Linked DNA regions of Mus musculus. The protein of the gene in region 2 purifies or fractionates together with the protein of the main gene of each other region. This does not show direct contact. Links are inferred from orthologs where the notes say so. Each region holds a gene or a part of one and is shown on either strand. Other genes may lie near its edges.

What was found.
Region 1: the proteins of Gdi2 (region 2) and Rab7 purify together in Homo sapiens (affinity purification with mass spectrometry; 3 studies listed by BioGRID and IntAct, with this or other methods). This does not show direct contact. The link is inferred for Mus musculus from reciprocal best matches to the Homo sapiens genes GDI2 and RAB7A.
Region 3: the proteins of Gdi2 (region 2) and Rab4a purify together in Homo sapiens (co-immunoprecipitation; 3 studies listed by BioGRID and IntAct, with this or other methods). This does not show direct contact. The link is inferred for Mus musculus from reciprocal best matches to the Homo sapiens genes GDI2 and RAB4A.
Region 4: the proteins of Gdi2 (region 2) and Rab1b purify together in Homo sapiens (affinity purification with mass spectrometry; 3 studies listed by BioGRID and IntAct, counting the BioPlex papers as one, with this or other methods). This does not show direct contact. The link is inferred for Mus musculus from reciprocal best matches to the Homo sapiens genes GDI2 and RAB1B.
Region 5: the proteins of Gdi2 (region 2) and Rab10 purify together in Homo sapiens (co-immunoprecipitation; 3 studies listed by BioGRID and IntAct, with this or other methods). This does not show direct contact. The link is inferred for Mus musculus from reciprocal best matches to the Homo sapiens genes GDI2 and RAB10.
Region 6: the proteins of Gdi2 (region 2) and Rab5a purify together in Homo sapiens (affinity purification with mass spectrometry; 3 studies listed by BioGRID and IntAct, counting the BioPlex papers as one, with this or other methods). This does not show direct contact. The link is inferred for Mus musculus from reciprocal best matches to the Homo sapiens genes GDI2 and RAB5A.
Region 7: the proteins of Gdi2 (region 2) and Rab8b purify together in Homo sapiens (affinity purification with mass spectrometry; 3 studies listed by BioGRID and IntAct, with this or other methods). This does not show direct contact. The link is inferred for Mus musculus from reciprocal best matches to the Homo sapiens genes GDI2 and RAB8B.

The regions. Positions count from the first base shown.
Region 1 is NC_000072.6:88,042,240-88,046,741, reverse strand, and holds the start of Rab7 (ras-related protein Rab-7a), read left to right. Parts: upstream 1-1,471; 5' UTR 1,472-1,669; intron 1,670-1,724; exon of another isoform or gene 1,725-1,805; intron 1,806-4,502.
Region 2 is NC_000079.6:3,558,360-3,562,105, forward strand, and holds part of Gdi2 (rab GDP dissociation inhibitor beta), read left to right. Parts: intron 1-1,632; coding exon 1,633-1,732; intron 1,733-3,506; coding exon 3,507-3,678; intron 3,679-3,746. UniProt on the Homo sapiens protein: GDP-dissociation inhibitor preventing the GDP to GTP exchange of most Rab proteins. By keeping these small GTPases in their inactive GDP-bound form regulates intracellular membrane trafficking.
Region 3 is NC_000074.6:123,826,393-123,830,138, forward strand, and holds part of Rab4a (ras-related protein Rab-4A), read left to right. Parts: intron 1-931; coding exon 932-1,046; intron 1,047-2,603; coding exon 2,604-2,666; intron 2,667-3,054; exon of another isoform or gene 3,055-3,622; intron 3,623-3,746. UniProt on the Homo sapiens protein: The small GTPases Rab are key regulators of intracellular membrane trafficking, from the formation of transport vesicles to their fusion with membranes.
Region 4 is NC_000085.6:5,098,477-5,101,367, reverse strand, and holds the end of Rab1b (ras-related protein Rab-1B), read left to right. Parts: intron 1-569; coding exon 570-701; intron 702-795; coding exon 796-990; 3' UTR 991-2,161; downstream 2,162-2,891. UniProt on the Homo sapiens protein: The small GTPases Rab are key regulators of intracellular membrane trafficking, from the formation of transport vesicles to their fusion with membranes.
Region 5 is NC_000078.6:3,307,138-3,311,425, forward strand, and holds the start of Rab10 (ras-related protein Rab-10), read right to left. Parts: upstream 2,833-4,288; 5' UTR 2,282-2,832; coding exon 2,155-2,281; intron 1-2,154. UniProt on the Homo sapiens protein: The small GTPases Rab are key regulators of intracellular membrane trafficking, from the formation of transport vesicles to their fusion with membranes.
Region 6 is NC_000083.6:53,477,651-53,482,192, forward strand, and holds the start of Rab5a (ras-related protein Rab-5A), read left to right. Parts: upstream 1-1,583; 5' UTR 1,584-1,958; intron 1,959-4,542. UniProt on the Homo sapiens protein: The small GTPases Rab are key regulators of intracellular membrane trafficking, from the formation of transport vesicles to their fusion with membranes.
Region 7 is NC_000075.6:66,860,633-66,864,378, forward strand, and holds part of Rab8b (ras-related protein Rab-8B), read right to left. Parts: intron 2,852-3,746; coding exon 2,791-2,851; intron 266-2,790; coding exon 205-265; intron 1-204. UniProt on the Homo sapiens protein: The small GTPases Rab are key regulators of intracellular membrane trafficking, from the formation of transport vesicles to their fusion with membranes.

The DNA.
Region 1 (4,502 bases), on a different chromosome or scaffold from region 2:
TGGAGGTTAGAATAGGGCATTGGCTGCTCTGTGAGTTACTCTAGGGGAACTAAAGTCAGAAGAGATGAAAAGCAGACACAGTTCCTGTTGGGCCTCATAGTTGTCTCCCACTTTCCTCCTTGGGTCTAGTGTATCACTGCTCTTAGCCACATGCAGCTTTGCTTCCAAACTGCTGGTCTATCTGCCATGTGGAGGCTGATGCTATATCCAACATGAGGTAGAGAGACAGGGCCTGAACCAGCTTCCTGCATCCCTACAACTGTGGAAAGTCTGACTGGACCACCAGATTCATATGGGTCCTACTATCCGGTCAAATTTTAATAGATAACCCAGATAACTAGTTGCTGAAATTTGTACCCAGCAAGTATGTGTTTTTTTTTTCCCCAACAAGAACCAAGAACTGTCACATATACATCTTTGCACCCTACTTTGTCACTTCATATTTCTTGAAGATTTCACTTTGCATATGAATATACATAGACTTCCTTTGTTCATATCTTAGTTTCAAAGTATTCAGTCAAATGGCCAAGTAATAATTAACTAATGATTGAAACTGAGCAAACTCCTGTGTGTGTGTCTATTATATCAAATGGTGAGGATCTTGGCAGAAAGGTCTTGTTTTCCCCTATTCCTTAGGACCTACAAACCTTCTCTATTCCTTATATGCTAGAACATGTACTAGTGTTGTGGGGTATTCACCAGAAAAGACTACTCAGATATGGGTTTAAGCTAAGAAATGGCAGCTGGTTACTGCACTGGGTGTTCAATACCCCAGGACAACCTGAGTCTTTCTCAGGGTGAGCTTTTAAGCACACAAAAAAACATGTTCTGGGTTGACATACTTCAGTTAACAAGAACTGTCAGCCATAAACAGAACTACAGAAGCTAAAAAGCAAGGTTAGTACATTTTGAGACTTCCCCAGAAAGATATGGACTTTGATGGATTAGGCCTTTGTTTTAGTTTTGGTGGGCGTGACACTAAAATCAGCCTCATGTCTCTTCAGTTCAGCAACTCCTTAGCTCTCTTTCCATTTTCCTGAACCATCTGCCCTGCACAGGTAGCTCCTATTTCATCACTGGGTCTCCAACACTGGGGACACTGTAACTGATCATTTCCATCCACATTAGAGATTGTACCCAGTGGACTCAGAAGACCCTAGACTATACCCTGCCTGATACATGGCTGACTGACTAGCGTGTTCCAGAGGGGGACACTCTGGAAAGACCAAGTGACTCTCCCTCCTTTAGCTCTGTTTATAGGAGCGGGGTGGGATGAGGGGGGGGGACACCACTGCATTATCAGTTCTTGGCCCAATATGGTGCGCTCCAGCTTCTGCACAGCCTTCAAAGATGGCAGCCCCCATCTAGAAACGGCCATATTTAAGCCCCAGATGCCAGGCTAGGGCCTGACGCGACCGGAACGTGACGCAAGGTGGAGGTGGGGCTCCTCCCTCCAACCCTGGCGTCGGGCGTCTCGTGACAGACACTTCCGCTCGGGGCGGCGGCGGTGGCGGAAGTGGAAGCAAGGCCGGAGCTTTGACCATAAAGCCCAAGGCGGCGGCGTTGGCGGCGGTGTTTGGGGCCGGGCAGCTCCGAGGAGCCTGCTGGAGCCGGAATCGGACGTCTCTGTTGCGGCCTGCGTTGTGTCTCCTCCTCCGTTGACCCTGCGGTGAGCAGCGGGCCCCGGCCGCCCTTCCCCCGCCGCCGCTTGGGCCTCCGGGCCTGGCGTCCTCGGCGAGCCGAGCGCCGAGCTGGGCCGGGCCAGGCGGGGCGGCGCCCGGCGGGCGGAGGGCGATCGGCGATCGGTGGGTGGCGGGTACGGGATCCTCGGGCTGGGCGCGTCCCCACCGGCAACCTGCTGGGTGGGAAGAGCTACCGGCCGGCCGGCCACCGAGGCAGTGCTGCCAGGCGCGTCACATGCCCCGGCCCGCCGCCGGCACTGGGAGACAGGAGCTTTCAGGGTCCTGCAGGGTAAATCCCGTTTCCGAAGTTCCGGGAAGAAGGACCTCCCGAGTGCCTTTCAAATGGCCTGATGTCCTCCTGGCTCATAATCGTGCCGATGTTGAGAGTAAGGTTGTGAAGATTTGAGATTTCTCGGCTGCTGGGCTGCGTGGCAAGACCGCACAAATTGCCCTGTTCTCCCAACAGCCCCTCCGAAGCACCGAGGCAGTGCCTACTTACAGAGAAAGCGAAGAACAGAGAGGCTAAGGCACTCGACCAAGGTCACACCGCTGATAAATTTCAGAGTGAGAGGTTGAAACATAGGCAGCTAGACTACTTAGCACTTACTGGCCTCTGGCCTCTTGTACTTTAGATGCCCCCAAAGCCTGCCACCTGTTATCTGCCATCAGCACCCCCCTCCACCTCCTGTCTAGTGATGTCATTTGAGAGCCTCTTAGTCCTACCTTAAAGCCATGTTGTATTTGTACTTGTGACTTACAAGGCATATTACAAGGCATATAAGGTAGTGTAGTGTCATCAAACCAGAAGATCTTGAATTCTGGCAAGGTATGTATTGGATTTGAATAGGTTTCTTAGCCAGCTCTTTTCCTTGAGTCAGGTCTGGCATGCCTACTGTGTGCACCTTTCTACAAGAATTTCTACAACAACCTAACCTGTTGACTCTTCACCGTTGAAAATCTTGTGTTTTTGGTTTTCCAAAGAATAAACTCTTGTCTCTTTCTTGTGACTTCAGCAACTGATACCCACATGATTGAGTTAATAAAATCTCTTGTTGGCATATTTCTCTTCGATCTTGGTAATATTGGATCAGAATTGAGTGTAAGAACTGGAAAGTGAATTATAACTACTTCTGAAGCTGGCCAGACTAAAGTTTGGTGTCCTTGGTTGTCAATAGTTTAGTTTGCTACCCGGCCTGGTATACTTACGGGCTGTAAACCTATGTAATGAGTTTAGAAGAGGAATCGCTAAACGTGATTCCCTTTTTGTTGTATGATATTTTTGTCCTCCCTCGAGGGGAATTAGATGCCACTTCGTCCAGTGCACTGTCATGTGTGAGCAGAGGCTGGAGAAGACAAGTGGCTGGCACCTTCATTTGGGAGATGTTTTTCTTCCACATGTGTGTCAGGCATTACTGGGTCCTGACTCAGGGAAGAAGGCATGGCTGGGTTGTGTCCTCAGAGAATTGTAAAATGATGAGTCTCAGAGCCAGGAGCTGTTTAGGAAGGAATGACTCGGATGTAGAAAGAATCGGAGGCTTCTGCAAAAAGTAGTTTTTATTTTATTTTATTCCCTCAGGTGAATCAGATATCCAGATGTGTATTGTTCTGGCTAACTACTTGAAATATTTGCCAACTCTTTGTGTGTTGTGTATGCATGCACATGTGCATCTGTGTGGGCCTGAGGTGGGTATTGGGTGTCTTACTTTACTGCTCGCCTTTTTAATTTTTAATTATTTACTTTTTGAAGACAGGGTCTCTTCCCTGACCCTGGAGCCTATCCACTGCTAGCAGGCTAGCCAGTGAGTGCACGCATGCGCACACGTGCACACACGCATGCACACACGTGCACACACGCATGCACGTGCCCGAGGGTGTTGCAGATGCCTCTGAACCTACCCTTTTTCTTTTTCCTTCATTTTTGGGTTGTTTGTTTGTTTGTTTGTTTGTTTTTTTGGTTTTTCTAGACAGGGTTTCTCTGTGTAGTCCTGGCTGTCCTGGAACTCACTCTGTAGACCAGGCTGGCCTCGAACTCAGAAATCTGCCTGCCTCTCCTTTTCTTTTTCTTGATTTAAATGTGGGTCCTGGGATCTGTACTCAGGTCCTTACACTTGTCTGTCCGACAACTGAGCCAACCTCAGCCCCCATCTCTGTCAGCATTAGGTTTGCTCCTGTAAGAGAGGGCCATAGTCTGGTGATAGTCTGATCACCTCTTTTAAAGAGTAACCACCAGCACTAAACGTGATTCCCTTTTTGTTGTATGATATTTTTTGCCCTCTCTCAAAGGGAATTAGATGCCACTTCGTCCAGTGCACTGTCATGTGGGAGCAGAGGATGGGTTTTCCTTTTTAGCTGACAAGAAAGCTTACTGTCGCTCTGCTAGACTTAGTGATGCATGCTGGAGAAGCCCTGTGTCCTCTGCTTGCCATGGCTCTCTGGTTCCCTCCATTCAGGGGCCCAGGTTTTACACTGAAGGTAGAACCTCAGGAGTAAAGGAAGGAGGGTGGAACTGGCATGCGCTCTAAAAATAGCTTTATTAGTGAAGTCTTCCAGGTGACTGCTGACAACCACATGGTGACTTTCCTGGTTGCCTTCTTTTTTTTTTTTGGTGTCAGTTGTGGTTCATATTCAGAGATCCTAACCCTGTAAGAGCTGTCCTTGTACGAAAGGAGTTGTGAATCAGTTTCTGGCTCCACCACCAAATGAGGCAAGGAAGTTTGAGCATTGGCTATGCTGTTACTCTGTCTTCAGAGAGGTCTGCACTAGTAATACTTTTACATTTGTCAGTAACTTTCTATGAAAATGTGGTGTGAACCCAGATTC
Region 2 (3,746 bases):
CCTCCTGAGTGCTGGGATTAAAGGCGTGCGCCACCAAGCCTGGTTTATCTTTACTTTTAATCTATGTTTTTGCCAGCAGTGGATATTGAACCTATGTTCAATTTCCCAGCTGAGCCATCTCACAGGCTCTATAGCTTGATTTTGCATGTCTAGAAAACTAATCTTTATCACCTTTTCATGAGCCATTTGTAATTTTGTGTTGTGATTGTCCAAGTCTTTTGCCTAGTTTTAAAGATTTGGGTAGTTTTTTGTTTTTGTTTTGGGGGTCATCTTGATGTTCCAATCTTTTGTCAGACCCGACGTACTACAAGTATTTTCTTCCAGTTGGTGGCTTGCCTTTTATAAGAAGTTTTACATTTTGTAAAGCTCACTATGTCAAACTTATTTTACATGTGTTTTGAGAACTATGAAATCTTTGGGTAGCCCAAGGACACAAAAGGCTGCTTACAACAGTTTTGCCTTTTCATGTAACTGTAACTGTTCTCATTCACTTTGAATGAGTTGATGCATAAGTGTTGGAGGGCTTGGGCCTCTCCCCAGGGCCCTGGGATGTAGTTATTCTAGCTGTGTTTGTGTGTGTGTGTGTGTGTGTGTGTGTGTGTGTGTGTGTAGCTGTGGGTTTTTCTCTTCTGTCAGTGATCTGGCTTTCCAGTTTTCTTCAGTTTTTGACAGTCTTGCTCTTTGATTATTTAGATTACTTTTAAAAGAGCCAAAATCAGAATTTTAGGTCATGATTTCTTTGGCTACTTGGTCACAGTTTGCTCACATGAGCAGTAATCTCTCATGTGCGGTCCTTGGAGTTAACCGTGTTTCCTGAGGTTGGATGATGTATTTTCATTTGTCATAAATTTCATCACGTTTTTGGGTCCCCCTTTTTTTATATAATACTGGGAATTGATCCCAGGGCTTTACTATAGGTTACGCAAGATTTCTACCATTGACTTATTCCCTTTCTGTGTGGTTCTTTTTTATATGAAAGAAAAAAGAGCTGCTTTCCTCTTGTGTTCCCAGTAATCTCTCCTGGGTTTTCCTTGCCCATTCAGTCCTCCTCTCCCACAGAGACCACATTCTACTTTGATATGGCACACATGTACATTTTTTATCTATTAATATGTCACATTATGTATGAAATATATGTATGCACATCTAAGTCCTCTGTTTGATAACTGTGATTTAAGTCTCTATTTTGCTTAACATGATTTTCAGATCTCTTTTTATACTGATACTTACATTTTTATCTACAATCTGTCACCCTTTTTTGCCTTTATTTACCTCCCAATATCTCCTTTCTTCCCACCTCTCAAATCCTTTCTTCCCAGCAATTCTGTCTCATACTTTCATATCCTGTTTGTTTATGGCCCACTACCTTTAATTAGTAGATACTATAGTTCATCTAGATTTAAGAAGGGAGATTTTAGCGGGGCGGTGGTGGCGCACGCCTTTAATCCCAGCACTTAGGAGGCAGAGACAGGTGGATTTCTGAGTTTGAGGCCAGCCTGGCCTACAAAGTGAGTTCCAGGACAGCCAGGGGTATACAGAGAAACCCTGTCTCGAAAAACGGAAAAATGGGGGGGGGGGATTTTTAACAGTTCTTATAATTGTGAATATAATTGATGAAAAAAACTTTTTTAGGTTAAGTGCCATATATGGAGGTACCTACATGTTGAATAAACCAATTGAAGAAATCATTGTGCAAAATGGAAAAGTGGTTGGTGTAAAATCCGAAGGAGAGGTAAGTAACTATTGTGAAAAAATGTGCTAAACAATGTGGTGTGGACATTGATATTACATGTTGGATATACACATGTGTGCTCTCTGGGTCTGTCTGATTGTTTAAAGTTCTTTTTTTTTTTAACTACAGTTTTTTGTTCTTCCTTCTATATCTTCCCACAGGTGTCTTTAGGAAGCTTCAGGGTTTTGATACAAAACCGAAGTGGCTGTAATACATTTGTTGCATAACTAAGTCTTAAGATGATGGCATCATCTGTTTACAGTGCTGTGCCATACTACTCCCTGCTAGCACACATATGGCAATCTAATAATGATCTCTTGAATTACTTCTGATTACCTTGCAACTGCCCAGGGAAACTTATTATTTGCAAAGCTCATTTAAATGCTTACCTGTATTTCAATAATTATGAACTTATTATGAAGAGATATAGTTGTTGGCTTGGAGATTGGTTTTGGTGGTGCTTGGGGTAGAATCTAGGACCTTATACTATGTAGACTCAGTCCAGTATTGTTTTAAAAGAAAAAAGTATAAACACTGGTTAAATTATAATTTAGCCAAATAGTTATTTTGAGTAACACTCCAGCGAGCACTGGTGTACAAATAACTATTTTCAAAACTTGCCGTCAGTTCTTTTGGTTTATATTTCAAGAGGCTGAACTGCTGAATTAAATAGTAATTTTGTTTGTTTGTTTGTTTGTTTATTGATTGAGAAATTGCCATGCTGTGACATCAACCGTATTATGTTCCATTCTCATGAGTGTGCAAACCCTGCCATCACGTTCTGTTTTGGTAGTAGGCATCTTAATAGGGGTCTTATGTTTTTAATTTGCACATTACTGGTGCTTTTAGTGATGTGCTATTTAGCTATTCTTTACCCTTTGTTTTTGTTTGAGGCCAGCTTTCTCTATATAGCTCCGGCTGTCCTGGAACTTGCTTTGTAGATCAGGTTAACTTCAAACTCTGAGATCTACCTGTCTCTGTCTCCTGATTGCTGGGATTAAAGGCATTGCCATCACTGCCGGTCTGTCCATTGATTTTACTCGGGTCTTTTTTTAAAATTTTTATGAATTTTAGCACTTCTTGATAATACGTTGACTATTACTCCCTATCAGATATATTATTTGCAAATATTTTTTGTCATGTTTCCTTTTCTTTTAACTGAATTAAAAATTTAATACATACTGATATACACAAATGTGTCTTTGATGTGCTAAAATTTCACGTCATAATAAATGAAGCTTTTACCTTATATCTCCTCTCTTCAGAATTTTTGGAATTTTAGTTCTTTATGTTTTGGGTTAAGTTTTAGATTTTGTTAGGGTATTAATAATAGTTTTACAAGGGCAATGTTTTTTTTCTGTGTTTTTGGATCTCATGCAGGTAGCCCTTGCTGACCTAAAGTATAAACAGTTTGTCCTCTAAATTCTGTTCTACCTCTAAGTGCTGAGATTACAGGTGTGCACTACAAGTTTTTTAAATTTGCCATGTCCCAGAACTGGTTTGTGAAAAACCACTTGAAAGCATGCACATTTATTTCTAGCTTCTCTTCTCTGTGTGCCAATACCAGGTACCACACTGTATTGACTGCTGTAGGCTTTAAGGGAGTCCTTAACATGTGTTCTTTTTTCAAGATTGTTTTATTGAGTTTAGTCTTTAGGGTTCAATATACATTTCAGGATTGATTTAGAGAGCTTAACTTTCTCCATGAATTTAGGACATACATATTGCTATGTTTCCACATCTTTACAATGACCCTTTAAATGTTTTGTCACAGATTGCTCGCTGTAAACAGCTCATCTGTGATCCCAGCTATGTAAAAGATCGGGTTGAAAAAGTGGGCCAGGTAATCAGAGTGATCTGTATCCTTAGCCACCCTATCAAGAACACCAACGATGCCAACTCCTGCCAGATCATCATTCCACAGAACCAAGTCAACCGCAAGTCAGGTGAGTTTTGAAGGACAGATGAGGGTAGAATTTGTGAACTGTCTTAGTGTTTTCATCCAGATTTCCTG
Region 3 (3,746 bases), on a different chromosome or scaffold from region 2:
CGGCCTGGATTACTGCTTAGGCCTCCCTCTGCAGTTTGCTGGGGGGGCCGGAGGGGGTCCTTCCTACCTGATCACACACTTGAATCTTTCTGGCGCAGGCTGGATTATCTGTCTAACCTCTTGTCCATCCAAATATTCTTTTTTTAAAAAAGCATTACCATGCAGCACCCCTGGTTGCTGAAGCTGTGTCCAGGCATGAGCTGAGCTGAGAGACAGCCAGTGAGGTGCAGCGTTCTCTCGAAGTCATGGCTTCCTCACAGCTATCCTGTACTGATGGCATGCCCCAGATGAGTTTAGAAGAGATAGGACTGGTTTCTCCAATAAACCCACGGAAACATTTGCTGTGCTCTGCTAGAACTAATGGACACTTGGTAATACACATAGGAAAGAACCAAATGGGGAAAAAAAAAAAGATTTGTCCAGACAGACCCCAATCAGAGTGCTATGGTCAGGTTATCTTTGGGGTCTCCTCTGCTCCAGAATAACACTTGACCACCTTGCTGCTGATCAAGTGCCCAGCTAGTTACCAGGCACATGCCCTACCACATGGCAGACCGGTTCCCATCAGGTTTCTGGCTGCTGGTGCAAGTCTTCTCGGCAGACAGTCTGGGATCTCAAGCTCAGGGCAGCCTCTTCCAGTAGCCATACCATGTGTTAGGAGACAGAGGAACTCTATTGTCTCGGTGAAAACAGAAATCGTGTCATATGCTTAGTACGGCCCATCAGCTGACTATTAGAGAATGGGCGGTTGAAGCAACCCGCCTTTTCACCTGCCAGGCCCCTGCCTCCCCTCCCCCAAACACCTCCCTTTTTACTGTTTTTTTAAATTAGTTTTCCAGCCCTTGGTCTATCTTAACGTTGCTGTTTAAACCTTGAACTGTTGCAGTCAGGTTCTAAAGTGTAATTATTTGTTCTTTGTTTTTCTTTTTAGTCAAAGATGACTCAAATCATACCATAGGAGTGGAATTTGGCTCAAAGATAATAAATGTCGGTGGTAAATATGTAAAGTTACAGATATGGGACACGGCCGGCCAGGAGCGGTTCAGGTAGCTTTCCTTCTTATTTACTGATAATGGTACTTGGAAGGCTTAGCCCAACTCCTTCACTGCGTGTGGTCTCAAACCAGCATGCACACGTAACTCAAAATCTGCAGCTCCATCCGGACGCTCTCACGTCTGAGGGCCCTGACTGGATCCCAGATACCAAAACAAACAAACCATCACTAGGGGACTAGACTCTCAGAGGTAGCAACTCGGTCAGGAGGATGCGGTACTGGCACTGGGTATCCGTGTAGTTGGCTTTTGGTTTCAGTCTGTTTGGCATTTTGAGCCAGCATCTCGCTGTGCAGTCTAGGTAGACCTCATGCCCACGACCTTCTTGTATCAAGCTCTGTATGCCAGGATGACCGGTGCGAAGCACCATCCGGGCTATAGTATGCCTTCAGATTAAAATCAAGGCAAAGACAAGGCAGGTGGCTTTTTCCCATATTACACGTCTATGAGGGATTTTTAAACTGCCATGGAGGGTTTTATCCCTTTACACTGACTGGAGCAGGCTGTGACAGTTGCCATGGATCCTGCAGGACAGGTTCACACAACTGGCACTCAGAAAGACTTAACCCCAGACCACTGCTAATCAGGTTGTGTGGTCAGCATCCTGTAACAATGAATGCACAGTGGGGTGTGAACATTTTAGCCACGCATTCTGCAGAGTACACCAAGTCACAGAGTCAAGATTCAGTGTGGAAGAAGCGATAACCCCCACCCACCCACCCTCCCACACACGCAGGCTTTTCACTTTTTAATTAAACTTGGGGATAGAGTATGGTAGTACCCATAGTCCTAGCTACTTTGGAGGTTGAGGCAGGAGGATCGCTCTAGTCCAGGGGATCAAGGCCAGCCTGGGCAATAGAGTGTGAGACCACAGGTGATGCCAGAGCAAATGTTATTCTGCTAGTATAAAAACTTAACAAGATGGCTCAGCAGCTAAAGGCTGGGCAAGCGTGACAGGCTGAATTCCATCTCCCGACTATGCAAAGGTGGAAGTACAGAGATGACTCCACAAAGTTATCTGACTCCCACATACATGACGTGGCACCCACCTGCGCCACCCCAACATCATACACACAATCAAGTGTAAAAAACTAGCAGGGAGAGAGCAGTTGGTTTTACAGGGGAGAAAATACTAAAAACCAGTTCCTTGAGAATGTGAGGTGGACAGAGACCCAGTCCTCAGTAGAGCAAGGAGAGAAGAAGGATGTTGTGTAGGTCGAAGTAAATGTGGCCCCTGGCAGGGATCTAGGCTGTTCCTGTCTTGGGCTTTACCTGGGAAGAAGGGAGGGAACAGCATAGGGCACCTGGGGGTGGGGGAGGGGACAGAGATGTGAGGGTCTCCTGGTGCCTGCTGCCCACAGAGAGCTCAGGACATTCGGGCCACATGCAGACCCATGAACCTCGTGACCTAAAGAGCTGCTCAGCAGAGCTCTCCCTGTTTTGGAGAGAGCGCCCTGCGTGTCCTGGCTCTATGTGGTTCAAAAGGAAGCATGGTTTCTATGGGGAGAAGTAAAGGGCCTTGATTGTTAGAAGCCCCTGTCATTCCTTCAGGTCTGTGACGAGAAGCTACTACAGAGGTGCAGCTGGGGCACTCCTTGTCTATGACATCACCAGGTAATGTCACCTCCCCGTCGCTCAGGCTACTTGGTGTTCTGCATCCCTGTGTTGGCGAGACATATGATTTAGTTCGGTCTAGATAGGCAGCATGGCTGTACCCAGGGGGATCATAAAGGTCTTTGGTATGTGTGAGGTGCTGGGACTGAAACAAGCCTTTGGCCTCATCCTTCACACTGTCTGAGACACGCTCCTCAAGGTCTACAAGGCTGTGTGCCTTCTCAGACATAATCAAGAGGTTGAAGATACAGACTCAGGCTCAAATCAGTGGGCTCAGAGCCTAGCTCCAATGACTTTTCAAACTCTACAGGCCTGGACTTCATAAGGGTAAAATTCTTGGGTCGTAGAGGTGGTTAAATCAACTAATGAAATACTGTTGCAGTTGTAGTTACTGGCTACATGTAACAACTTAGTTTTATTCCTGGGTTGCTCTGGCCACATTTCAAATGTTCCATGCCCCACATGCCTGGTGACCACAGGACTGGCCAGTGCAGCTCCCAGCACACTCCCGTCTTGAAAATCTCATCAATCCACTGACCTCAGAGTTAGCAGCATTGTCCTGGAAACACGTGATCCAAAAGGTTCCACCAAGGGGCCCTTCCTGGGAGGAACCTGACCTAGGAGAGAACAACATGGCTGCCTTCCTCTTCTGAGAGGGGGTGACACTCCTGACTTCACCCTCCTCATTCCCCCCGGTGCCATGAGAGACTCAACCTGCCAGGGTGTGACATCACTTGTGTGGGTCCTTAAATGTGGGAGCCAACCTGCAGATCTGAGCTGGTCCTGGGTAGACAAAAGCCAGGAAGTCCTGCATAGTGTCCCTAAGCCCCAGGAGGTCCTTGCAAAGTTGTCGTGGTGGATTCCTATGGGTCAAGGTGCTCACAAGTCTACAGGTGACCATGATTAGTGTTGCAAGCCAGGCACGTATCTTGCACATACTCGGGGTTCAGGTGCATCTGTGAAGGGAAGGAAAGCCCTTTTTTGAAACCCAGAGGGTTTCATTGTAATAGAAGCTAAACATAGCCCATGAGCCTATTGTATCACCAAGCATTCGGGTTCCCACGTCACCTCTGAGGCCCA
Region 4 (2,891 bases), on a different chromosome or scaffold from region 2:
TTTGTATTTTATATGCATTGGTGGTTTTGCCTTCATGTGTGTCTGTGAGGGTGTCAGATCCCCTGGAATTGGAGCTACAGACAGTTGTAAGCTGCCTTGTGGGTACTGGGAGTTGAACCAGTGCTCTTAACCACTGGGCCATCTCTCCAAGCCCCCCTTTTCCTTTTATTTTGAGAAGGTCTCATTGAGAGGGTCTCATTGAGACCCTAGGCTGGTCTCAAACCTGTGATCTTCCTGCATCAGTCATGCCTGGTGTCACCTGCCTTTCTTCTGATGTCCTTGGCTTCCCAGGAGAGGGTTAGGGAGAAAGAACTGCAGGAAGCAGCAATGACTGTAGGTGCAGGCGGCTGTTGAGGTGATGGCCACTGGCAGGCACTACTCCACTCTGCTTCTGGTTTTCAGGTTTCCGCATGGGAGAGAACCAGGGGAAAGCTAAACCTGGGCTTGGGGTGGGGGAGAGACTTTGTCAGAATCCCCGTGCTCGGGGCCTGCCTTTCAAAGGAGTCCTGTTCTCTAGACCTGGGTTGACCTGGGTGTGGGTGTGCAGTAACTTTGGACACTGTGCCTAGGAGTCCTACGCCAACGTGAAACAGTGGCTGCAGGAGATAGATCGCTACGCCAGTGAGAATGTCAATAAACTCCTGGTAGGCAACAAGAGTGACCTCACCACCAAGAAGGTCGTGGACAACACCACGGCCAAGGTGAGCAGGCCTGCCCTGGCTGTCAGGGGTCTGGGGCCCACATGCCTTCACCCCTTCTCTCCCTGCTCCCCTCTCTCTCTTCTTCCCTTCGCAGGAATTTGCAGACTCTCTGGGTGTCCCCTTCCTCGAGACAAGTGCCAAGAATGCCACCAATGTTGAGCAGGCATTCATGACAATGGCTGCAGAGATCAAAAAGCGGATGGGGCCAGGAGCAGCGTCTGGGGGTGAACGGCCCAACCTGAAGATCGACAGCACCCCTGTGAAGCCTGCTAGCGGTGGCTGCTGCTAGGAGGGGCACTTGGGGGAGGGCACCTTGTCCAGATGATGCCCCTGGAGCGGGCAGGAAGTGCCTCCCTCTCCTAGGGCATTTGAGTCTGTAGCTTTGGGGTGTCCTGGGCTCCCCATCTTCCTCTGGCCCATCTGCCTTCTGCTCTGAGTCCCAGTCCTGTCAGGGCCCCCGTGGAGGACATGCAGAGCCTGTGGCTGGGGTGGTCACAGGGACAGCTCCGCTGCTGCCTCTGGGTACCTTGAAAAGATGCCCACCACGCACCTTTCTTTGGAATGAGGGCTCCGCTGTCTGTCACTCACCCCCATGTATGCTGCACTGGGTTTCTCTTTCCTTTCTTCCCAATAGCAAGGGCCTCCCTGCCTCTGCTGCCCCTGGGTGCAGGCAGTAGCCAGGGGATCCAGGGCCTCAGATCCAGGGTCCTGCATCGGACCTCAGGACAGGTGCCAGGGCTGCGAGAGCCCCATAGCCACCTTTTCCTCATCTCTGCCTCACTCCATCGCTCCCACACAGCTTGAGCCGTCCAGCTGCGGTTAGGTCTTGAGCACATCTAGGGTAGGTGGGCGGATGGCTGCGGGGCCTGTGTCTCAAGCCGGGAGGGAGCCTGCTCCTGCCTCCCCCTGCCCTGCCTGAGCCAGGCCCATGTGCTGCCTGCCCACCGAGCCCCTTTGTCCCTGAGGAAAGCGGAGGCGGAAGGCCCACCTTGCCAAAGGCCGGGCACCAGCCTTAACCCTCACTCTGCCAGCACCACCTCCCTTTTCCGAGGCAGCACATCTGGCTTGTTCTTCCTCCATTCCTCAGAGCCTGACAGGGCCAGACCTGCTTCTCTGGGGAATGTGGGTGCAGCTTGGGGTTGTGGGGCTCTTCCCCCTCCCAACTCAGAATCCTGGCCCCCACCCTCTGGCACAGCTTCCTGTAGAAAACCTTTGGTCTTTACCTAAGAAGCCATGTCCTTTGTGCTGTCTCTTGCCAGTCTCACCCTACAACCTGTCCTCCCCCTCCAGTGTGTATTTAAGTCCCTGGGCTGCCCCTCTGGGAGGGAGCCTCTTCTCCCAGGTTCCCCTCTGATGTCACATCAGGCATCTTGCAAGGAAAAGCCACTTGGGGGAAGATGGAAAAGGATGAAAAAATAAATTTCCACTGGCCCTTGGATAAGCCAAGGGTTTTTGCAAGGAAGCGGTGGTGACTGAGTGTGGTCTATGGTCAGAGTCAGCTTTGAGTTGCTGGGTGGAACTGGAGTCCAGAGTTTGGTGTGATGCATGGGGGGTCCTGGCTTGGACTGTATCTTAAGCTTGCTGGTAAAAGCCCTTGACCCACATACTGGGGCTGGGAAAGCCTGCTGTGCGGCTATGGGATGTCCCCAAGGGCCCAGCATGAATCTGTCAGAGGGAGGCTGGCAGGAGGCCGTCAGGTGAGCCACCAACATCCACTGGGACAGGCGTTCAAGGCATGAAGTTAGAAGCAAGGAGCAGGCGTTGGTCCCCCTGCATTTAGTCTTCCCCTCCTCCAGTCCCCGACTTTAGTCCCCTCTTGTGGCTTGAAGCCAGATGCCAGCTATCCTGAGCTTTGACAAGCGCTGCTTTACATTAGGACCTCAGTTGTATCCCCCTGAGCCAGCACTCTGTGGAGACGGGAGTACAGAATGTGGCTATAGTGGGCTTAGTTGTCCGAAAGTTGTACCAGGAACGGGCTTCCAGGTCTGCATGTTCTGGAGGTGCACAAACACTGGGCTCATTGGGGTGAGTGGCTGTGCTGGGCTGATGAGGCTGGCGGAGGGGCGCTCTGAGTCTCAGCCCCGCCCGAGGCCGCTGCACGGCGGCCCCGCCCCCGGCTCCGCCCCGCCGGCTTCGCGGGCTGGAGAGCGAGGGAGCCGCGGGCGAGGGATCGCAGGATGAGCGATCGGG
Region 5 (4,288 bases), on a different chromosome or scaffold from region 2:
AAGAATTGTCAGAATTTTGTTCATTTTCTTAGCTTACTTTATTCAAATCTTGTGTCAAAACATCAAATGTTTTTATATCAAAATGTATAAATGTCAGAGGTTATTGTATAATTGTTTAGCAGAGCACCAACAGATATTCAAGCAGCCATTACACACAAGACATATTCAATCCATAAAGCAACTTATTCTGTCACACACCAGTATCAGGAAGGCCATATATTCTGCACAAATCTGCACTGTGTTCCTACAAAGTACCTGGCACCATTGTTAGGTGCTTTGCTCTCGCTGACCTGTATTAATCCTCACAAGCACCATACATGGCATTTGCACTGTCGAATAAGACACTGTAGCCAAAGTTGCAATTCCTGTGGAGCCAGGAATTCAAAACAGCAGGCTGCATGGGAAACAACCCATCTCCCTAAGTCAAAGGACAATGAAGACTATGGATACAAGGAGGACTGGAGGTGTAACTCAGCAGCTTGCCTACCACGCATGAGGTTAGTCAATGCCCAGTACCTGAGGACAGGCAGCTGGGGGGCTAAGTAGCTTTCTTCACCAGGAAACTTTACTTCCTACTTTCACCTACCCGTTCTCAAGAGCAGGTTAAAAAAAAAAGGATCGCACACTAAATTCTCTTTCAAAGAGGCTACCTCTCCTCTGATCCAATTCATACTTGTCTTTCAGACTACGTTTTAAACATCCATGCAAAGCAGATTCCCCATAATTCAGACTACTCCCCTTCCTCCCTCTCCTCACTCTAGTGCTTTGCACACTGTTGTTGCCTTCTTTATCAGAATGCTCAAGGGGTCTATTGTATCGACCACTTATTTTCAACGCTTTTAACAGTGCCTAGAACTTGGTGCTCAATAAATATTTGCTGATCTAGCCACCTGACTGACCCAGCTACACTTCAAAGCAAACTTAGTGCTGTGTAAGTGCTAACCCACTAAGCAGAGGACAAGTTCAAGCTTCGTGATATTTTGACAATCCTGCCCACCAGTAAGGTAAAACAACCTATTTTAAATAAAAATTTGCTCATCTTAATTGCAGTATAACTTAAGCATATTTTGCGAAAATATGCTTAAGCTACTTACAAATATGTCTTAAGGAAATCCTATACTATAAATTGGTTAAAACAAGATTTTCACAATTCTTAAGGAAAACCACTAGAGTCGCTTCTCATCGTGAAGCTAGTTACATTTATCACAAGTTTTCCTGCACTGCTCTAATGCCGGAGCTGAGGTTCAAAAATGAAAGACACCGGATACTTTAAAAAACCAGGGAGGGGGGTGGTCATGTACAGTTACTTTGACAAAATTGATGTTGGTGCCAGCGTCAAAACGACTTTCTTGAAACCTTCCCTTTTCATTTCCGAAACAGGAAACCCATTTAAAAGGTCAGTTTTTATTTCCATACCAAGTAATTCCGAAATATGTGGTAGTACATTAGAAGTCCTTAGAGCCATGACTGACGAAAGATTTTCCTGTAAATTCTAACATCAAGTAAAACATTAGAACTTGACTTGATTCCATTGGGTTGAAAACAGAAACCGTCCATCTGCTTCGTTGAGGTCTTGAAAAAGCACTGTGAGCCAACCATGCCAGATTCCCACCCCAAGCACGAAGGGCCTCCGATTGTTTGACACATCAATGGTTCAGTCAAGACAGCCAACTCACTTTCCCCCGCCCCTCTCATTTTCCTTAATGATTCTGCAACTCTCAAGTTTACTCCAAGTTACAGTCAGATAGAATATTTTCTCTTTGACCCCCAATTCGGGCCTTTGCCACATAGCCAGTACTGCTTCAATCCCAACCACTAAATTACGTCTATTACAAATAGCACATCAAGTAACTTCATGCAATTATGGTAAGGCCAGGCAAGTCACTTAAAGAAACCGGATTCTGGAACGCTGCTAAATGCTGCATATTTTGTGCCAGAAGGCACCGAACAGAGAAGGAGACTTGAGACCGGATGGTAAGCATGGGAAGACCCCGCCCCAGTAAGGCTATTCCGATTCCAACAGTAACTTAGGTCTGTCGTCTGGAATCGGAATCACTGGAACAAAGGCGTAAATTCCGGGAAGCAAGATGTCTGGAATAAAAGAAAACGGCTCGCGGCTACAGAGCCCCCACACCATCCTCCCACAGGTCTTACCTATGGTGGAAATAAAGGTGGTATTGAAGGCATCGTCCGAAAAACGAAAAAGGACGCAGGTCTTGCCCACTCCCGAGTCCCCGATCAGGAGCAGCTTGAAAAGCAGGTCGTACGTCTTCTTCGCCATTGGGAGGAGCGGCTCGGGCGCTCGCCGCCGGTAGCCCCAAGGGATCGGAACTGCTCACTACAACCAACTCCTCACCCGGGCGTTCTGGGGCCGCAGCAGCCGGGTAGCGTGTGCGGAAGGAGAAAGCAGCTCTCGAGACGGAGCAGGAGACCTTCCGAACGGCCTCGTCGAGGAAGCCCCGACGGTGGCGGCGCCCGTGCCTCCGAGGGGCGGCGCCCGCGGCTCCGCAGCCTCTCCCAGCCGCTCCGCCCGGTTCCGGGGAGTCGGTCGGGACAAAATGGCCTCCCCTCCCCCCTCAGCGCAGCTCGGCCGGGACGCTCCCACGGGCGGACGAGCGAGCTCTACGTCGAGGGAGCGCGGCGGGCTTGAACACGGCCTCCGCCCGGAGCAGAAACCCCGCGCTAGGACACGGGCGAGGGCAGCGGGAGGTCTCGCGAGCCGACAAGCCCTGCTACATAACCCCAGGAAACAGAGCCGCCCCGGCCAGAGCCACCTTTTTCCCCGTGCCCTCTCACGCCGGCGTGCGCGCAGCCTGAGACGCACGCAAGGACGTACACCCGCCCTTCTCTCGCGCCCTCGCCCCTGCGGCCCGCCTCTGCGCACGCGCGCGGGCGGGCAAGTAGGGCACGCGGAGGCGGGACCAGAGGGGGCGAGGCCGCGGGCGCGCTCCCTACGGCCTCCTGATTGGGTGAGCGGCTTGACGAACACGCCCCGCGGGGGAGGTGCGGCCCGGGAACTGCGCAGGCGCACTACGTCCGTATAGCTCCTGCCCTCCCTCCCTTGCCTTTTCCGGGGCGCCCAGCTGACTGCTGGAATCCTCTACTCCCTCTCAGTATCCTGTTGAGGAGCTAAGGATGTTAGCCCAGCGACGGGCGTGGCTGGCTGTGTGTGTGTGTGTGTGTGTATAGTTCATATAGATGAGAGAGAAAGAAGTGCTCTGGGCCACTCAGGAACCTCCTTACTAAACCCGGACATCTCCAGAAGAGATCCCGCTTGTGGGCTGGTCCTGACAACCTGGTCTCCTTAAGAAGCTAGAGTTGATAGAGCCGGGATTCCAAACTGAAAAAGGCGCAGCGCTCCTGGGGTTGGAATGATGTCATCGGCCTGAGGAACCCCGGGTGCGGGGAGAACCTCCCTGCGAATGGAAGCTTCTTTGCTGCTTCGGGCCTAAGCAGCCCTTGGAATCCCGGGAGCTGAAGCGCTCTATTCAGAAAAGGCGGGCGGTCACTGTAGCCAAAGTTGTACCACCAAATCGAAAATCTGAAAGCCTGCCCCATCCCAACCGATCTCTTCCTTGCTTTTCACTTGTTTGTAGGTTGGTTGTTTTGTTGCAAAGTCTGTACACCAGTACTGACTTCCAATTCATGAATCTCCAGTCTCAGCCTCCTGAGGGCTACTCTGGTGGGGTAACTCCACCACACCTGTGCCATGTCTTTTCTCTAGTTTTGTCCCTTTTCCCTCTCTCCCTATCAGTTTTATTTACACCTCCCTTTTCTTCCTTTCTATAGTCGAAATAAGCAAATTTCTAACTTACCTTTCTAAGTATGCTCCAGCACCCGCAGAATGTGATGGTAGAATGGTTGAACCTGATGAGCTGATTCACCAATAAGGAGATTTTTATTTAGGTAAATTTTATATACACACACACATAACTAATTAGCATATAACAAATATATAAGCATATTAAATAAAAATAAGCTACACTTTGGCAGACACCTCGCCATCACCAACATGTGCATTTCATGTGTAAGTAAAGCCTTTGATCATGTTCTTTTCTGACCATCTTAGATGTGATCATGCTCTTCAAAGACTTGTCCTCCTTCTAAACACCCATAAGCCTTTGAAGGTGTTTGTGTTCTCTAAACCATCTCCCAGTTGATTCTCTGATTGGTTTTAGTTTTCTCATTAAACTATATCCTCCAAATCATTCTTCCTCCAGCTGGGACTGTCGTGCTGTATCATGAATCAACAATTCTATTAAAAGTTGTCGGTAAGCTTCTCAGCTTT
Region 6 (4,542 bases), on a different chromosome or scaffold from region 2:
TATAAACTGAGGCCACGACTACTCAAAGGCATGCTTGTTTGAAGGGAAGGAAGGGTTTTGTTGTAGGTATGAGGGAAAGTACAGCCAGAGGCATCTGGAAAAATCCAGAGCTGGGAGAGAAAAGTGTAGACTGGACATGGCCATGGGGTGGGATGGGGTAGTGAGACAGGAAGACAAAGGAGCAAAGGAGGCCACAGGAGAGGGGAGCGGGAAGGAGAGAGGGAGAGGGAGAGGGAGGGAGAGAGAGAGAGAGAGAGAGAGAGAGAGAGAGAGAGAGAGAGAGAGTCAAATAGTAGGGTTACATGGGAATGAGAAACTAGAAGAGGGAAGCTCATGACTTGGAGAAGTTTAGGGTAGGAAGTGGGGTGAGAAGAGCCACAGGTACTGAGTAAATCAGAAGGCTAGCCTTGTGTTTTGGTATGCTAATAGGCACCACAGAACCTTTCTGACAGAGACAAGGAATGACTCTTTTGATAGAAACCAGTGCCAGAATTTAGGGGAGTGGAGTATTTGGACCTATGCGGATCAAGGGAACGTCTTAAATAGGTGTGCTGTGGGCAGCCATAAACATCTTGGGCTGCTGTTCATTGGAATCTTAAGAACTAGTGTTATGGAGCCGGCTGCAGGCTAGACTATATCTAACCTGTGATCGTGGCCAAATTATTTGCCTCCCTCATTCATTCCACAAACATGCCAGGACTCTGTGTGCTTATCAACTGTGCTTATCAATGGGTGTGTGTGTGTGTGTGAGAGAGAGAGAGAGAGAGAGAGAGAGAGAGAGAGAGATCACTCCAAAATGTTTACTACTTAGTTCAATGGGGAATTCCAAATAAACGCTAATTATTAGGATTTCCTCCTTTTCACTCAAAAAACAAACAAAACAAAACAAAAAACCACACACACAGGTAAACTCTCAATAAAAGCAAGTTATTCTTTTGAGGTTTGCTGTCTAAAGGCAGCTTTTGAATTTAAGGGTCTTAATTCTCTCCGAGATCACAGACACGCCCATTCTCGGAAAAGCAGGGCATTTCCAGAGCCACAGGAGCCCTCGCTCGCCTAAACCCCTTTACTGAGCTGCTGAAGTGGTGTGAGAGGCCTGTGAGTGAACCATCAGACCGAAAATCGCCGCAATGGGAAGACAACCCAGGCTGACAATGGCAGTGGGGACCCTGTCAGCTCCGATGAGACCCATAAAACGCAGGTCTGGCCCACGCCTCTCGGGTTCCCAACCCGCCGGCTTAGAGCGCCGCCACCCAGATAACAATGGTGGTACTGAGGGTGGAGCCCCGGGGAGGAGGAAGGCAGAGCAAGGAAGTGAGTAGGTCTGGCCCCAGGGAATTGGAGAAGACACGTGACGCAACCCCACGCCCCCCTCTTCATTCCTGACGCTCCTGCCTCGCCTTGCAGCCGGAGCCCAAAGATGTCGGTTCAGATCAAGGAGGCGTTAGAGAGGGCCGAACTATTCTCCCTTAGCGCACCCGGGGATGTCACGTGACTTCGGCCCCGCCCCCTTAGGAAGCCGCTGCCGGCCTCCTGGGAGGGGCAGCGGCGGAAATGACGTCACGGCGTTCTTCGCTGCGTGCGGCTACGTGGCGGAGCCGGCGGAAGCAGTTCCTGCGCTGGAGCCCGAGTGTTTGTGTTTTGGTTCGTGAGGAGCCGGGGCGGTCTGAGGGGAGGAGACCGAGGGAGGAGGAGGAGGAGAACGACGACGACGAGGAAGAAGTCCTCGGAACTCGAGCGCGGCGACTCTGGAGGAGGAGGAGAAAGGAAGGCGGAACGGAGAGGCGGAGACGCAGCCCGGCAGGGGCGGCGGCACGGCGGGCGGCGCTCAGAGTCCCGCGCCGGCCAGGGTGAGAAGAAGGAGCGAGCAGGCGACGCCGCCGCTGCAGCCGCGGCGCATCCGATCTCCGGGCCGGGCCGGGCCGTGCGTGGCCTCGCTGCCGGGAGACGCGGCCCAGGTAAGCCGCCGTCGGGGCGGGTCCCTGTGGTCCCGGGCCGGGCTTGGGGCCTCCAAGCCGCCGCGGGCCCTCAGCGCTTAGTGACTCATTCTTCTAGCAGCTTCGGGGCCTGGGACGTGGGGAATCCTCTGAGGGAGCGGCGGGTGGCACCCTCTTCCCTTCACAAGATGGCGCCGTGGGAAGAGCCTGGGGCCCTGGCGGTCTCCAGCCCGGTCTTTGGGGCTCTGTCCCGGCTACTGAGCCGGATCGCATCCGGGGTGACGGGGGTGGCTCAGGAGCGCGCCCACCAGGCCCAGCGGAGCTCCTGGCCCCGGCACCCCGGTTTGATTTCTCGGCTTCTTCCAGACAGGAACCCAGGCCTCCAGCAGGTGGGGATTGGGGAGCTCCGCCTACCTCTGACCGGCTTGGCCGGGCTGTGCGAGTAGTGGGATCCTCTGGTCCCTTCCGTGGGAGGTGGGAAGCCCGGGCCAAGGTGCGAGCAGGTTAACATCCTAACGCCTCCAGAAGTTTAAAGCTTTGACTGTCACTCTTGGCATATTAGTTTTTGCCTCGCCGAAATGGATTTAAAGTTCTGAATCAGTTGCCTTGCACGTAACTAATTAAAAAAAAAAAAACTGTTACATCTTCCAGAATATTGAGGTCTGCCCAGAATCGTTCTTAATGTAAAATTTGAACCCGTGGGGTTGTGAACAAAGTAGGCAGCACAACAGTGCCTGGCACAATTTAAGGGCTCAGTGCAATTTTTTTAATCAAAGACTTCCTAACTGTATAAAAAAACTATTTTAAAGATTGGAGATGCATATTATGCAAAAGTTTTCTTTGACGGAATAAAAGTACAAGTTATAAGTGCAGAACCTCTGTGCACTGAGCAGTAGCTTCACTGAACACCCCCAGCCCTCGCACTTAACATTAATACCATGTTCAACCTGTGTAGGTTTATACTTGGGCTTATTTCCGTTTGAGGTCTTTGGAAGTAAAAGATTTAGTAGCTTTGCACTTTAAAAGACACTGACTGTGAAGGCACCCCGCCTGTCATCCCAGCACTCTGGAAGCTGAGGTAGGTAGGATCAGGAGTCCAGGCCATCCGTAACCTATCCTGTGCTTGCCTAGGCGACAAGTCCCTGTCCCTCAAAAATGTGATCGGGATGTGGGGCAGGAAACAGTTTTTAAAAACTAAGTACAAAATTTTGTTTGTATTTTCTGTGAGAATCGATGTTTTCCCTGAGATTTTGGAAGTACCATAGGAATACAGAACAAGTTTTGTCCTGGATAAGTCATTTACTGTTTTATAGGTAAGGAACAATTGAGAAACATTTAAGCTGAAGGTATGTTGGTGCCTTTTTCAGTCTGTATGAAGTCTATTGATCTACAAGCATTAATTAATTAACTAATTCACCAAGAGGCCATTTTAATTGCCAGTTTCAAACACTGTGTACTTAGTAAGCACTGTATCAGAGACTAGATATGTTGTCTTATTTAATTCTTAACAGTTGCTGTGCAATGTTAGGGTATAATGAATATAGAAAATTTGAAAATTAAAACTTAGATTGACATAGCTGAGACTAGACTTCAGAATCTGGTTTGTTTTATGGATTGGGGAGAAATGGGAATTTTGCTTAATTACTTTTGACAAGCTCTCACAGTATAGTTCTGGGTGACTTGAAACATGCTTTGCAGGCCAGGCTAACTTGGAACACACAGCCATTCATCCACCTTTTTCTGGCCCTGGAGTGCTAGAATTAAAATCTTGGCCCACTGTGTCTGTTGTTTTGAGACAAGCCTTGCTAAATATTTCTGACTGGCATGCTTCTGTCTCAGCTTCTCAAGTTCTAGGACCACAGACAAGCTCCATCATGCCAGGATGAAATGGTAGTTTTATTTATGTGCTGTTGGTTAGAAGCAGCTCAAACATTTCATCTGTAAATGTGTTGGTATTTATTGGTAAAGATAGGAACTCTTCAAAGCTAGTAACTAGATTAGGCTAGAAGATGGTATCTTAAAAACGGAGCTGGGCTTGGTGTGGCATACCTTTAATTAGAGAACTCAGGAGGCAAAGGCAGATGTACTGATTGATCTCTGAGTTCAGGGACAGCCATGGCTAAACAGAGAGCCGTTGTCTTAAAACAACAAACAGATAGCACGGAGATCTTATGGATATATTCGTTAATGAATTTGTCATTATCAAGTGTTCCATGTATTAATTCAAATTTTATAGGAAATATAAATTTCTATAATTAAGTATAAATTAAGTGTAGCTTTTGGTCAAAGATTTTTTTAGGAAGAAAATCCTTAGTATATTTTGTTTTTGATAAGCTTATAACCCACATTTAGTATATGCGTGTGATGTTTGCATGTGTATGTATTCCTGTGTGAAGGAATGTGCATTTCACAGCATTTTCATGGAGATCAAAGGGACAACCTTGGTCCTCACCTTTTCACCATATGTGCTTCCCAGAATCCAAATCTAAGCTTATATTTCAAGTGCTTTACCCAGTGGTCTTTCTCTTCCTCCTTTTTTAAACAAAGTTTTTTGGTAGCCTGGGCTAGCCTTAGAAGGACTTCACAGCCCTCCTTCCTCCAGTTC
Region 7 (3,746 bases), on a different chromosome or scaffold from region 2:
GCTCCCAGCTTTTCTGTTGGTGTGTCTGTATGTCTGTCCTTCCTTCATTCCCTCATTTGCACCATCAGGTTTCCAGGACCAAGACGGCCATGCTGAATGCAGTGGTCCTAGGCTCAAGCTTCATATCCATAGACAGGCAATGAATAGCCCTGTTTCCCTGTTTTATTTTCACCTGAAAGGTTAGAACCTTTGAAACACACTCACCATGGCTCCTCTATAGTATGCTGTCGTAATTGTTCGGAATCTTTCCTGGCCCGCCGTGTCCCTAAAACGTGAAACAAAGAAAGGAAAGAATGGTTTTAAGTTACCAGCCACACGGGTAAGGACCCGAGTCACAGCAGATAAAATTCTGATCTGCCCACAGTTTACTGAGGCAGGGGAAAGGAGAACGCACACAAAGATGGCACATCGTGCCTTGAGAGCTGGAGGCAGCAGTGGCCACAGGAGCCTGTCAGAACTCACAAAGACTTGGATGAAAAACTCGGACTTGTTATAAAAGCAGCAATGAGATCCCACTAGGAACTGGGCTATGGGAGGAGGCAGAATGGCTCTAAATTCTTGGACTCCCAGAGGCAGCGATAACCTATCTATAAGTGCTACATTAGAGAGCCATTTTGCTTTCTTGACTGCATGGGTGATTTCAGTACAAAGCACACTGCTGAATGACTACATGTATTCTGCTCAGCAGAGCAGAACAAACTATGTCTCTTCTAGAGCACTTTCAGAGCACAGCCTGCAGTTAATTACAGAGGAACCTGGAGTCCAACATCATTCTCCAAGTTTCTAAAGAATAAACATAAACATCTTGGAATTACACAATCTTTCAGCTACCCTTCCTTTTTGAGCTGAGGGCATACCGTTAAAATATGCAGGATTCTAGGATGGGAGTGTGGCTCAATAGTAGGGCACTGGCCTAGCAAGGCCCTAGGTTCAGTCTCTGGCATTAATCCAGGGCTTTGTGAGGGGGAGCACATGTGTGCTTCACACTGACACACTCCAAGAAATACGGGCATTTCTAATTAAATTCATAGCTTCAATCACACAGAAGAATCTCCTTGATATTGGGAGAAAGTCATTTGTTTTAATTTTCCATTTATAGCCGGAACTAATTCACTTCCTGTGATACTAAAATAAACTAAATTATACAATTTAATTGCAAAGAACAGAGAGATTTGTGGAACTATATTAAAGATCTAATATACAGTAAACCCCACCAAAGGATAAAGGTTCAAGGAAATATAGCCAATTAAACAGCAATTATCTTCATATTTATATCTACTTTATAAAATACTTCCAAACATGATGCCTCCACAGCCCAGAGTGAAGTGGGTGATATTATCATCTTTACTCTGTAAAAGATGCAGCAGGCTCAGGAGAACTATGGCCTCATCTTTGCCACTAAACAGCTCTCAGCCTTGAGTGAGACTCAAACAGTGCAGGTCTCAGCTGTTGGGCACCAGGATGAGACTCACACCAAACCCAGATCTTGTTATTCTCTTCCCTATCAGCATTAGAAATGTGACGAACTTATTTTGTGCTCAGCAACAAGGAGGAACAGAGAAACCAAGCACCTTTGAATGGATTAATCATATTTCCTTGACTCAAATACATTACTGATTTAGAAACAGCATATACATGCACACACTTACACACACACACACATATACACACACACACAAATATAATTAAAAAAACCTTTAAGGTTGAATGTGTTTCTCTGAGTTCTGTGATGGAACAGGGGGTGTGAATGGCAGTAACAGGTGACAACTTACTGCTTGCAAGTAGCATCCATATCCGTAGTATATGGCAGTCTGTGGGATTGTGCCCTCGACTTTTGATAGCTGATGCTATCTCTAAGTGAACAGTGCCAGAATTGAGTTAAGTCATGGAACGCCTACATAGTATCGTTTGGAGAACTGCTTAGGGTGGGCATAGAGGGTATGCCAAATACCTTGGATACATTTGGTATCCAAAATGTTTAAATATTTTTTAAAACTCACAGTACTTATTTTTTCCTTATTTCTCCATTAAATAGGCCCTACTTGATAAATTATAAAATAACAGAGCTATCGAACCTTCAATCTCATCAATCCAGGCTCATTTATAAGTGAAAAAAAGGCAGAGCCTGAGAAGGTGCAATGGTTTGGAGAAGTTTCTCCTGCAGGTCTTAAAGGCCTGGTCTTCGGGGCAGTGGAATCTTTGGGGGCTGGGCTGAGTGGGAAGTCCTGAGGTCATTGGGAGCATGTTCTTCAAGTGGATTGTAGGGCCCTGGGCCCTTCCCCATGCTCTGCCAAGCACTCCCTGCCACTGCCACCCAGCCCCTCATCAGAGACCCAAACCAATGGTCTCACCTAATCTAGGTCCAACTGGGAGCCCAAGCAAAGCATCTCTCTTCATAAATGCAGTGTCTCACACGTTCTGTGACACTGTGTTAGGGATGGACATAAAAGCAAGTACTTTCCCCAAAGTCCTCAATTTACAAGGCTGTGGCTTGACTTTCAGACCCAGGCCTGACTTTCAGCCCAGGGTCTGTACCATTTTGCTGTGTCTGAGTCACAGCTGTGACTACAATGAAGGAGTGTATGCTTTTGAGAATCCGTTTTTTTGGTTTTTTTCTTGTCCAGAGCTTAGAACAGACGGGCTCTGGACTTCCTTCCCACTCTGGTTTTCCAAAGGAAAGGTCTGAATGCCTGGATGATGTTTCTAATGTCTTGAGTCACATTTTAACCTTAGACTTCCAATTCCAGGAGATATTCCACAGGCCTTCATTTTTTTTTTTTCTTAACTTACCATATCTGAAGTTTAATTTTCTTTCCGTCGAGTTCTATCGTTCTGATTTTAAAATCAATTCCTGCCAGAAAACAAAAAAGGATATGCTAAGTTCCTTAAATTCAATCCAAGTCTTATTAGGGAGGGAACAAAGATTTCTATTGAAAAAAAAAAAAAGCTCTCCAACGCACTGGAAAATGTGAGCGCACAGAGGGTGTGAATGGCATGTTTCCTCTGAATTCAGGCTGGAGAAAGGAATGCTAGTCACTCTGCAAAGCATTCCCACACATGTGAAGTGCAGGATTACAGGCCTCATTATTTGGGCACAAATGGACCACATCCTTCAGAGTTACATAATTCAGAAGGACTGAGAACATAACATATTTTCTCCTTCCTGAAATACATACACACAATATTTTCAGTCCTAGTGCCCCAACCTTCCCTACAGAAGACTGTAGAGACTCTTTAAAACAATTTTCTTCCCCTCCCTTCATTTATTTTGTTAGAACCTGCCCACTTAGGAAAAAGAAAATGAGACTCTGCCCATTTGATGTCCAGGGAGGGAAAGCTGATTCTATTTTATACAGTTAGCAGGGACTCCATATACATCTCAATTAATGTTCCCTGAGAGTTACTGCCTAGAACTGAAATGGCTAAAATGCTTTTTAGCCCTGGCCACATTTTGGAATTCCAGAGAGAACAACAACAACAACTCTCTTGACTAGGCCTTCCTCCTCCCTAATCCTGAGACTGACTTAGCTGGTTAGTCTGGTTAGCTGGTGATTTTCAAAGCTCCCTGAGTAATTTGAAACTGAATCCAAAGCCCAGCAAGCCCAAAGGGTGACAAGAAAGGGAAAGCATTTAGGACTTTGGCACTTCAAAAGTTGGACATCTCTTCACCTATGCATCCGCAAGCCGTGACAATCAAAACTTACTTAGGACTCTACCACACAGCAGTGCACAGTCCTTGTCTCAGT